Linked DNA regions of Drosophila melanogaster. The protein of the gene in region 1 purifies or fractionates together with the protein of each later gene. This does not show direct contact. Each region holds a gene or a part of one and is shown on either strand. Other genes may lie near its edges.

Evidence for each region. The genes of interacting proteins can lie anywhere in the genome.
Region 2: the proteins of gsb (region 1) and Rab14 purify together in Drosophila melanogaster (affinity purification with mass spectrometry, with the first as the bait; one large-scale study listed by BioGRID). This does not show direct contact.

The regions. Positions count from the first base shown.
Region 1 is NT_033778.4:25,060,181-25,065,521, reverse strand, and holds gsb (gooseberry), read right to left. Parts: upstream 3,559-5,341; 5' UTR 3,375-3,558; coding exon 3,320-3,374; intron 2,289-3,319; coding exon 1,060-2,288; 3' UTR 879-1,059; downstream 1-878. UniProt on the Drosophila melanogaster protein: Expressed in segmentally repeating pattern to define the polarity of embryonic segments.
Region 2 is NT_033779.5:14,354,763-14,359,480, reverse strand, and holds Rab14 (Rab14), read right to left. Parts: upstream 2,441-4,718; 5' UTR 2,274-2,440; coding exon 2,210-2,273; intron 2,201-2,209; exon of another isoform or gene 2,141-2,200; coding exon 2,027-2,140; intron 1,962-2,026; coding exon 1,781-1,961; intron 1,727-1,780; coding exon 1,544-1,726; intron 1,476-1,543; coding exon 1,298-1,475; 3' UTR 717-1,297; downstream 1-716. Other genes in the region: Pgant35A (polypeptide N-acetylgalactosaminyltransferase 35A), read right to left, coding at 1-101; l(2)34Fd (lethal (2) 34Fd), read left to right, coding at 4,484-4,549, 4,608-4,718.

The sequences.
Region 1 (5,341 bases):
TATAAGTATGAGTCCTGCCCTCCCTCGCTGTCATATTGTCAATGGCTTTGTTCATTTCTGTGTGCACTTGGCTGCCTTTTCGGGTCCTATCATCTTCGGAAAGGCCCACATTTGGCGGCATCTTAAAAGTCACGATTCAGTGACGTTGGTGGTCGCCCGATTCCACTGCTCATACTTTGCCCATCTACCTTGTCAATTACTCTATTTTGCTGCGATGTGTGTGGTTTTCCCAAACCATTCACCAATCCCTAATTATTTTTGTATTATCAAATCCGCAGTACGTGTTGTCCGTTTTTGTCTCTAATTGTTTAATGGTCAGATCATGAGCCAGTTTTTGTTTGAATATGCCTAAAGAGCGCCCTCATCCAGATCACGGCCTTCTTCCAATCTGCACAGATTTGAAGACGATCGATGATTAACATCACTTTGACAATTTAAAGAAACGTTTCTAGACTATTTTGAGGGATTACTCGGATGGGCTTGTTAACCTGTTAGGTTGCCACAGGAACTTGACAAAAACTGTTGATGTGTGTGGTCTAGAATTGTTATTAGTTTAATGAAGTGTAAGCGGCTTGAGTATATTGTGAAAATTTATATGGTTGGATATAACTTCCATTCAGAATTAATTGAATTCACCGTACACTTACATTTAAATCAAAAATCACCGTTTGAAATTTATAAAATACGAATTTGGAAACATTGAAAAGGTAAAGAATTGCGGGATTAAAGAGATATCATTATGTTTAACGAGCTAATAAAGCTTTTCGTACTTTATTTTTTCTGGGTATACAGAAACGCAATGATCCCATATTTCTTGATTTTTAAATTATATATAGGTATATTTTAGTTCTCAGAAATAAAACTAACCGTTGGGTTTTATTTAAATGTTTTCTTTTATTGTTTTGATAATTGCTCCTTAACCTAAAACTAACATTTGTATTAAAGTACTAATTTAAACAGTCTTAGGGGTGTTAAATGTAGGTCTATACGAGTAGCAACATTAAAGTACTGTTAAAGTTTTCAAACGACCCACAAGATTAGGAACAAGCAGGGATCGTCTCAAAATCCAAAGTATGGATAGGTTGGTGCAGTGGTCATCATTGAGCTCTTCTGATCAACCTGATGATGGTAGCCGCTAATATGGTTGCCTGCGGCAGAAGCGGGAGGGAAAAAGGAACCCGCAAAGTTGTAGCTGTCCCACGTGGAGGGGTGGTGAGAGCCCGAAGCGGCGGCAGATGCAAACTGGGATCTCAGCTGCTCCGCGGATGTAGCAGGAGTCTGCGGCATTGAATAGGCAGCCGATGGGTAAGTAGCATTGCTCGATCCCACGCCGTAAGTGGAGGTCATAAACTCGCTTCCAGTTCCTGGCTGCTGCGCTTGCGTCTGTACGGGACTGTGGGCGGCAGAGCTGGTACCCGAGGTGCTGCTGGCGGGGGACATGGATGCAACCGATCCACCATAGGCAGCATGATTTTCATAGGCTCCGGATGATGGCCAGCTCTGTGAACTGTAAAGGCTCATTCCCATGTTTGGAGCAGGGGCGGCACTGGTAGTGGGAGTTGCGCCAAAAGAAGTAGATGTGGGAGCAAAGCTAGGCACCTGCTGGGTGTTCAGTTGCTTGCGCAGACGAGCACGGCGATTAGAGAACCAAACTTGGACACGGGCCTCGGTCAATCCCGTGCTCTGGGCCAACTCCTCCCGGGTGTAGACATCGGGGTACTGTGTACGGGCGAAGATGCGCTCTAGGGCGTCGATCTGGTCGTTGGAGAATGTCGTCCGGGAACGCCTTTGTTTCCTTTTTAACTGCACACTGGGCTCGGCATCGTCCTCGCTCTCATCCTCGCTTCCCACAGAACCAGCGCCTCCGCCGAGGATGCCGTCGATGCTGTGGGAGGTCCCTGATCCGGAGGATCCTCGCAGAAGACGCGAAATAGAGCTCACCGACGGAGCATTTTGCTTGTCGCAGACTCCCGCTTCGATTAGCTTGGCGCGGATTTCCCAACTAAAAATACCGGGCTGCGACTGTTTAAGTTCCTCGATTCTGGACTCAATGTCTGGCGTGGCTACACGGGGCTTGCTGCCACCGATTACTCCGGGCCGAATGGAGCCAGTCTCCTGGAAGCGGTTTAGAATCTTTGAGACGCAGCCATGAGAGACGCGCAGCTGGCGGGAGATGACACAGGGACGGACTCCAGCTGCTGCCATCTCCACGATTTGGCGACGGATGTGATTGGGCAACGGACGGCCGTTGATGAAGACGCCACCCAACTGGTTGACACGACCTTGTCCTGGAAGAATTAGAGAAACAGGCATGAATACACTTGCAAGTCAGCATTTGTTCGTAAGTACGTCCATGGAAGTCTGATCCCATTACAATATCTTAAGTACGTTAGTTGTGTGGTCTTGTTTTCGGAACGATATTTAAATTAACTTTTTTCCTTGCTCCATTGAGCGAAAGAAAGTAATCTAGTTAGACGGCATTGACCACTTCAATTGCTTACTAACTGAACTGCACTAATCAGGATAAGCCGCAGGATCAATACGCACGATCTTTTGTTGAAGATTGGCACAAACGATACCATAGCCATTTGTAGACATAACAAAACGCAAATTGGTCATTTGCGTGGGCCTTTTTGAGAAAATAGTAAGCCTCTTGCAGACGAATGGTATGCGGTGGTGGGGAAAAATACCAATCTCGACAGGGGACGCGGCTGCGAACATAGCTGCATCCCGGGCCGGCTTTTGCAATCAAATCAAACTAATAATCCATAAGAGCAGCAGATGCCCAGCTGCGCCGGCTAATACAAGTGTGTGTATATGAAAAGGCGGCCCCAAAACAGCCGTAAAGAGAAATGAAAGCCCGGTCCCTGTGCAGGGTCTGATGTTTGGGGCGCTGACGTTACTGAGCTACGTGATACACAAGACCCCGAGCTCCAACACAGACACTGAGTCGATTCAAGATCAAAGCCCAGCGACACGACGCCGCCGTGGCATGAGTCGAGACATGAGCTGGCAAGACGGTCGCGCCAAAAAGTCTGCAAAGTCCGCACCTTAAGCTGGGGTTCGAAGAGGTTGGCTTTTCACTGGGTCTGGGTATGGCCATTGCCTGTCCGGGCTAGTTGCCGATTACAATCAATAAGTCAGAAAGCTGATCATGCTGCCGAACGGGTAATGATCCCTCGTTTGAAAACAGCGGGCGAAAGCGCTGCCCCAAATGATGAGCCAGCACTTTTCTGCGTCTGAATCTGGCGTTTTGTACCAGTAATTGTGGTAATTGGTAATGGTCGTTGTGATCTTGTATCTATCTGTCGGTGCTTACCTTGAAAGGGATATCCGCCAAAGTAGGGTGTCATGTTGAGAGCCGAAACAGCCATTTCCTTGCGGTAATCCTTTTGAGAGTTCTTCGGAGTTTTGTTAACACTTTTACTTATACGTTTCAAATTAATCTTCGCGAGGCCCGACTGTTAGGAATTCTAAATTATTTTTGGAGTGTGTATCTGCTGTTGCGAGTGCGCAGTGAATGATGATGCTGCTCGGTTGCTTGACAGCTCGAAACTGATTTTGAAACGGTCAGCCGCAAGACTAAAACGAATCCGTGAGATTCTCAGAGCCAAGAAACTAGTTTTGTTCAGTGAAGAAGCAGTGCGGGCGCGAGGGTGGAATTGCAGGCCGGCAGCCAGGCGATGCAAGAGCGAGAGGCTGCGATCGGTACCGGTGGTTAGAGCGGATCAGCTGCTCAGCCTGAAAGTGTGAGCGAGAGCAGTGCCGTCGAACCAGAAACGAGAGAGACTCCATAGCATGACTGTAATTTCTTTAGCTCCGCCTCCAGAAAACCGAACAGAATTCGGTTTAGTATCCCTTCCTGAAGGATTTGGGATTTATAAAATTCCGAGTGGGCTCAGTCGGTACTCCATTATGATTGTTTATTTAATATGCGCTTGATTTGAAGTTATGCTTTGGGACGAAAATCATAGGCTTGAGGTGGGTGAGCTGGCAAGCTGATTCCGAATATCGTAAATATATTGTGAGCACTATTTCCATCGCCGCCACAAACAAACTGTTGAAATATCCATAGAAAAACCTTGAATGAACGGGCAAATAAAAAAAGAATGCAAAAGGTTTCTAAGACCGCAACAGACGGTCTATGAAACGCATTTAACTTGCATTTTATTTTGTCTGCAAGCCGCCCTCGCCAAACCAATGGCCTTGGTTAAATGGAAAAAGGCGTGGGGCTAAGATACGCGTGTCTGGTGAAGTCTGTGGCAGGATTTTACTTTTCAAACAAGTGAACGCGATTGATTAAATAGTTGCTTTCAATTGGAATTTGAATTTAAAGACAGCCGTATTGAGACTAATGGCTAAATAGTCGACATGCTTCATTAAAAGTTCATTCCGAAGTTGTGATTCAATTACTGGCTCTACTTAACAGACACTGTTTGCAAAAGCTAATTAGAAGAGCCCCATCTGTAAAACAACTCTAAAAATTAATATTCATGACAAAAAGAGAATGGGAACGGCCTTTTGTATGTGTTGCTGAGTGGGAAGCTGGGTAAAACATTTTCGCACAGGTAAAAAGGAAGAGGAAATGTAAACTTCATTTCCGAGTCATGCACTCGGTTAATTTTTGAGACTGCTTAGCTATGAGCGGTCAATATCAAAGGCGTTTTGGCCATGTTGCGTATACGCCGCGTGCGCGAGCATTGAAATTATGCAGCATCATATCCAAGGCAAGGCTATGTACGCGAACAATGTAGACAAAGTTTGTGGCCCCTGGTTTTGGGGCAGGCAATTGTCGAGATACTCGTCCAGCGGTATATGTATCTGTGAGATACTTTCGGCGTGGGTGCGATGGTGAGTATATGCTATTTGGCAATAATTTAGGTCCATTGTTTGGCTGGCCGTTACGCTCTGTGTGGCTTTGCCGCAAGGCAATCGCTCAAATCATTTGACAACTGAAACTGCTACTGTGCGATTGGCAAAGTCTTCGATGCCGACACTGCCTTAGATGCAGATTCCGATATGGATTGTGCGTCAGTGCGAATGATGAATCGGAATCTATTGAGCATTCAAATGGCAAGTGTTCGGACTCTGTTTCTCTCCATCGACCAGGTCTCCGTTGACCTGGACTAACTTTTGTAAATAAGAACTTATCTGGTAAATACAAAAAGCAGAACCGACGCCAAATAACAAAATTCTTTTCACTCCTTGACTGCGGCATTTTTATTGGTTTTTTGAAACATTTTTCTAAGCCAGTCATAGACGGAAGGCTCAAAGGCAATGTATTCGCCTGGCAGTCGAACTGTACATTGCGTGGTTTACCCCAAGTTGGAAAATTCATTTG
Region 2 (4,718 bases), on another chromosome or scaffold:
AGGCTGTGCGAGTAGAAAAGCAGCGCCAGCAGCCAGACGACCGCCACCAGAAGGGTGCCCAGGCCGCAGGATTTGCACAGGAGGCGCTTGATTTGCATCATGGATCGAGATTAGATTACGTTGTGCGCTTCCCTGGCTACTTAAGCAGCTACTTTGTCACTTTCATGATGATCGGAATAAATTAAATTTAATTTGCATACCATGGCATTCGCACAAAAGCGCGCACACAGCGATGCCACCGAAGATGCTAGCTCAGAGTTTTTCCCGCTAAATTTCAAGGAAATCGAAAATAGTGTAGAATAGTGTAGTGTAGAAAACAAAAATTGGACTGATAACCAGTTAAAATGATTAATTAGACAACCAGCAACAAACAAAAGAACAGTATACGAAAAATCGTTGTTTGACTTACAAACTTTATTGTTCATAGTCATAATCAGCTGATTTCCAACCCAACGTTAGCATCACTAAATAAAACAAGAATGAAGTTATGCGCAAGTCAAAGTTGAGGGTATTCCACTAAATGGATTAAAAAAGCTTTTTACAAAATATTTAAGTAAATCGTAAGTACCCAAATATTTATAAAATTTAAATCTATTAAATGGAAATCCGGTAAATTATAAAATTATCCAGCGATTTGGTGTAGAATTAAATATAAACGAATGGTTAAATATGCAAATTAAAATTTAAATTATTTGAAAGAGAAATTCATTTCTATTGGTAGGGGTTTTATAAATACCATTTTATTTATTTCCTATTGCATTATGCCATTAATACATCGTAAATATTCATATAACATTGATCGTTTCCTCCAATTCTTGCACGCGACAACAACAAATACTCAACAAAAAATTAGGGAGATACAAAAATTCATACATATATATATTATATACAGGGATTCATCAGCCAACAAAAACATGATCTATATCTCAAACGAATTCATCTATAAATTGAGACCGAAGGATGGTGTTAGTGCGATAAACTTTTCGAAATTTCATGGTCAAAACTTTAGTTTGCGCCAACAAACATGTTTAATTTTCTAGTATTTATGCTTAACCGATACAATAAATGTTGCAATGCTTGCGTCTTATTAAGCGAAAGGACTTTATATTTTCTTTTTCTGTTTTTTTTTTTTTTTGTGGTTGCTGTCGCTGTTGTTGGCTCACACATTGATGCTTAATCGAATTATTTAACTACATACATTGGTTTTTGCTTGGGCATCGGTAGATTACGAGTCGGCTAAAAATAAAAGTTGATTTGTATAACTAGGTTTTGCGTAAAGTTAGGTTCCATCATTCATTTAGCACGAGCACTGATCCTTGGCGCCCGTAGCCTCGCTACTCAGCGAAGTTCGCGACGGCTGCGATGGCCTGTGCTGAACTCCGGACTCGGAGGCGTTCAGATCGAGCCGACCCTCCTGGATGTTCTGGTAAATCTTGCGTGCGGTCTCCAGAAAAGCCTCCTCCACATTCTGGCCACTGTTTGGGCGATAAAAAAAAAGATAATCAGTATATGCTCAAACACTATGCTTCCAGTTGAAACTCACGTCATAGCGCTCGCTTCGAGAAACATTAGGCCGTTCTCGTCGGCAAACTCCTTGGCCTCCTCGTAGGTAACCTCCCGAGTGCTCTCCAGATCCGATTTGTTGCCAATGAGAAAGATCACAGTGCTGGGATTGGTGAGATTGCGAGTGTCGGTAAGCCAGCTGCTCAGGTGATTGTACGTGGAGCTGGAATGGTCAAGTTGTAAAGCAATTTCTCAAATAGTAGCTTGCTTCGCTTACCGCCTGGTAATATCGTAGACCATCAGCGCACCAGCTGCTCCACGGTAATAGGAGCGTGTCACTGCCCTGAATCGCTCCTGACCCGCTGTGTCCCAGATCTGTAGCTTGATCTTTTTGTCGTCCACCTCAATGATGCGTGTGCCGAACTCCACGCCAATGGTGTGAGGACAATTGGCCATGACTGCAGGACGGCAAGTAGAGATTAGTTCTTATTACATACATTATTACTCAGCACAGTCTACTCACATTTCTTCTCGGTGAACTGGTGGAGCAGGCAGGACTTGCCCACGCCCATGTCACCAATGATGATGTATTTAAAGATATAGTTGTAGTTGTATGGCGCTGCAGTCATGTTGGGACCTAAAAAGCAAGCGAAATTATTATTATTATTACATTGCAGAGTCATTGAGTATATAGAATATTTCACACATTTTTCAATAAAGTAGTCTATGCGTTCGTGCAGTTTGTTCACCACGCTGCGCACTTTGCTCATCTTGACACCGGCAGAAATGAACTCTGACCCAATCAAACAGTGTTAACTACTACTATCAGCTCCTCATTTGAATGTCCAACCGTAGTCGCTGCTTATCAACAAACCGAGGCGCTGCATTAATTTGTTCTGCGTCGACACCACATTTTGTTCCCCTTTCTCGAACTGGCCCCGATATTTCTTTTTAAGGCCTGCTTGTGTTTGAACAGCCGACCGGGTTTGTTTGCCTGCCAACTGAAGCCAAAAAAAAAAAAAAATAAGAAAGAGGCAAGCTTCAAGAGCGGCGGGTATATCCACTTCATGCCACTTGACTTTGTCCATTCGCAGTATCCGTGTCGTTCGAAAGCCTTTGATTTGTCCGCAGTTAAGGGGCGCTGAAGAGAGTGAATTGAACCCTTCGCCCAAGCTGAAAGCGATTTGGATCAAGGTCGCCGAGCAAGCAATCGTGGGAATTCAATTATTAAGAGCAGTACGCGCGAAGTTATTCATCAAGTTAGTTTGTATTTAGGGTAATCATCCTGCCTTACTTCATATGAATGAATTTCATACAAAAGAATGTGACTTAGCAGCATATAGTGTGAAAAGATGAGTATCAATTATGGATTCTTAATTGCTCATACTTAAATCATCAAATACAGTTATAATCGCTTATCATTGCTTGTCAAAGTGACAAGTGCATATCAGTTTAATAGGCTCTATGACGGGCAGTTTAGACTAACTAAGTAGTAGGTCTCGGTCTCGAGTCTTATCAGTCAAGCGCCAAAGGCCAAACATCAGTGGAGCAATCAATGGAGGCGAAGTACATATGTACTTATTTGCAAAATGTGTTGAATGGAAGTGGATCATCATTGCCCCTCATAAAAGGAACACAGCGGCGCACCCATAACAGGGAAAATAACGAAAGGAGTATGAGAAATATATATTTATACACAGACGAAGTATGTATACCCTTTGGCAAAAAATCTTAAATATAAATATACTTTTATAAATGTGCGCTTTATATTCCATTTCTAAGATATAACTGAATACGATTTGATATTTGAGTATCTACAAATAAGCGCACATCCATTCAAACTAATAAAATAAGCCCGCATTGAAGACAACAACGCAATAAGACACAACAAAATGAAAAAGAAATATATTAATAACTGATAACAACTACTAAGAAAACTTCTGATTTATTATAATTTTTTATTCATGCTCGCCTACATTTTGAAAAAACCTTGTTTGCATAATTCATATAATAAATTAATATATAAGCACAGGTAAATATTTCTATGATAACTCATACACTCATATAATAATCCATCTTATAAAAACTAATTTAGAGTATTTATTTATAGCGTATACTAAACAAACTCCTCACCTACCGATTTTTAAGTAGAGTGGCGGCCGTTTTTGCCCCACCATCCCCTAAAAATTCAAAAAATAAATTATACACCATAAAAACCTGAAACATCCCCAGAATTAATCGATTTTTGTAAATCATATTTATTTTCTTAACTTGGTCACAAAACAGTAACTCCCCATTGCAGGGTATCAAAGCAATCAGGGGGTGTATACAACAACAATGGAGTGCTGCTGCCTAACGACAAAAACAAGAGAGAGCGAGAGCACAAGGGAAAGTTGCGGAGCACCCACAGCTGCACTGCGTCACCCCTTCGCAGACGGTTTTCCATTTCGCATAATTTAATCAGTGTTTAATTGGCTTAAGGAAAAACAACGAATATTACTCACCGTTTTAGATCACTTTAGTTTTAGTCCACCTTAGGGAGCGAACGGAATGTGTAACGTAGGGCGGTTACGCAGAGCGGGGGGTACTGTGTGTATGTGTGCGTATTGTTGTTTGGCTGTGCGGAATTCGATTGCAATTTTTGGGCAATTTGGCGATGCAAAATGCAGTTCACTTTCGTGCTAGCACGCACACTGGCTTCGCGGGGTTGCGGGGCTGCACCGAGAGGCAATTATTGCGATTATTTTCAATTGGTAGGTCGATGCAAATCAGTAGTCTTTTTTCACTGCTTTTGCGTTCTCTTGTTTTGCTTGGTTTCCTGCGGTCACACTGAGCAATTGGCAAGCCAAGGGTCACACTGCCGCGATAGGTGCTTATCGCAGCCAGATGCTATCGACAATCGTGTCTATCGATAGAGGGCGCACGTGTTGCGGACTTCGTTTGTTTATGTTTTAATTTTGAGCAAAAATCGTCCCTCAAGATGTTCGTAAACGAAGTTAACGATGTGAAGATCTACAACCTGAGCGCCGGCAAGTCGGTGCCAGATGTGAGTAGCAAGATAAACCCGTTGCCAAGCAGTTAACTCATGAGTATCTCCTTCACAGTGGCTGACGGATCGGCGAAAGCGGTCACAGCTCATGAAAAAAGTGGACTCCCGGAGACAGATCGAGCTCATCCAGGACTTCGATATGCCCGGCGTCTGCACCAGCATCCGC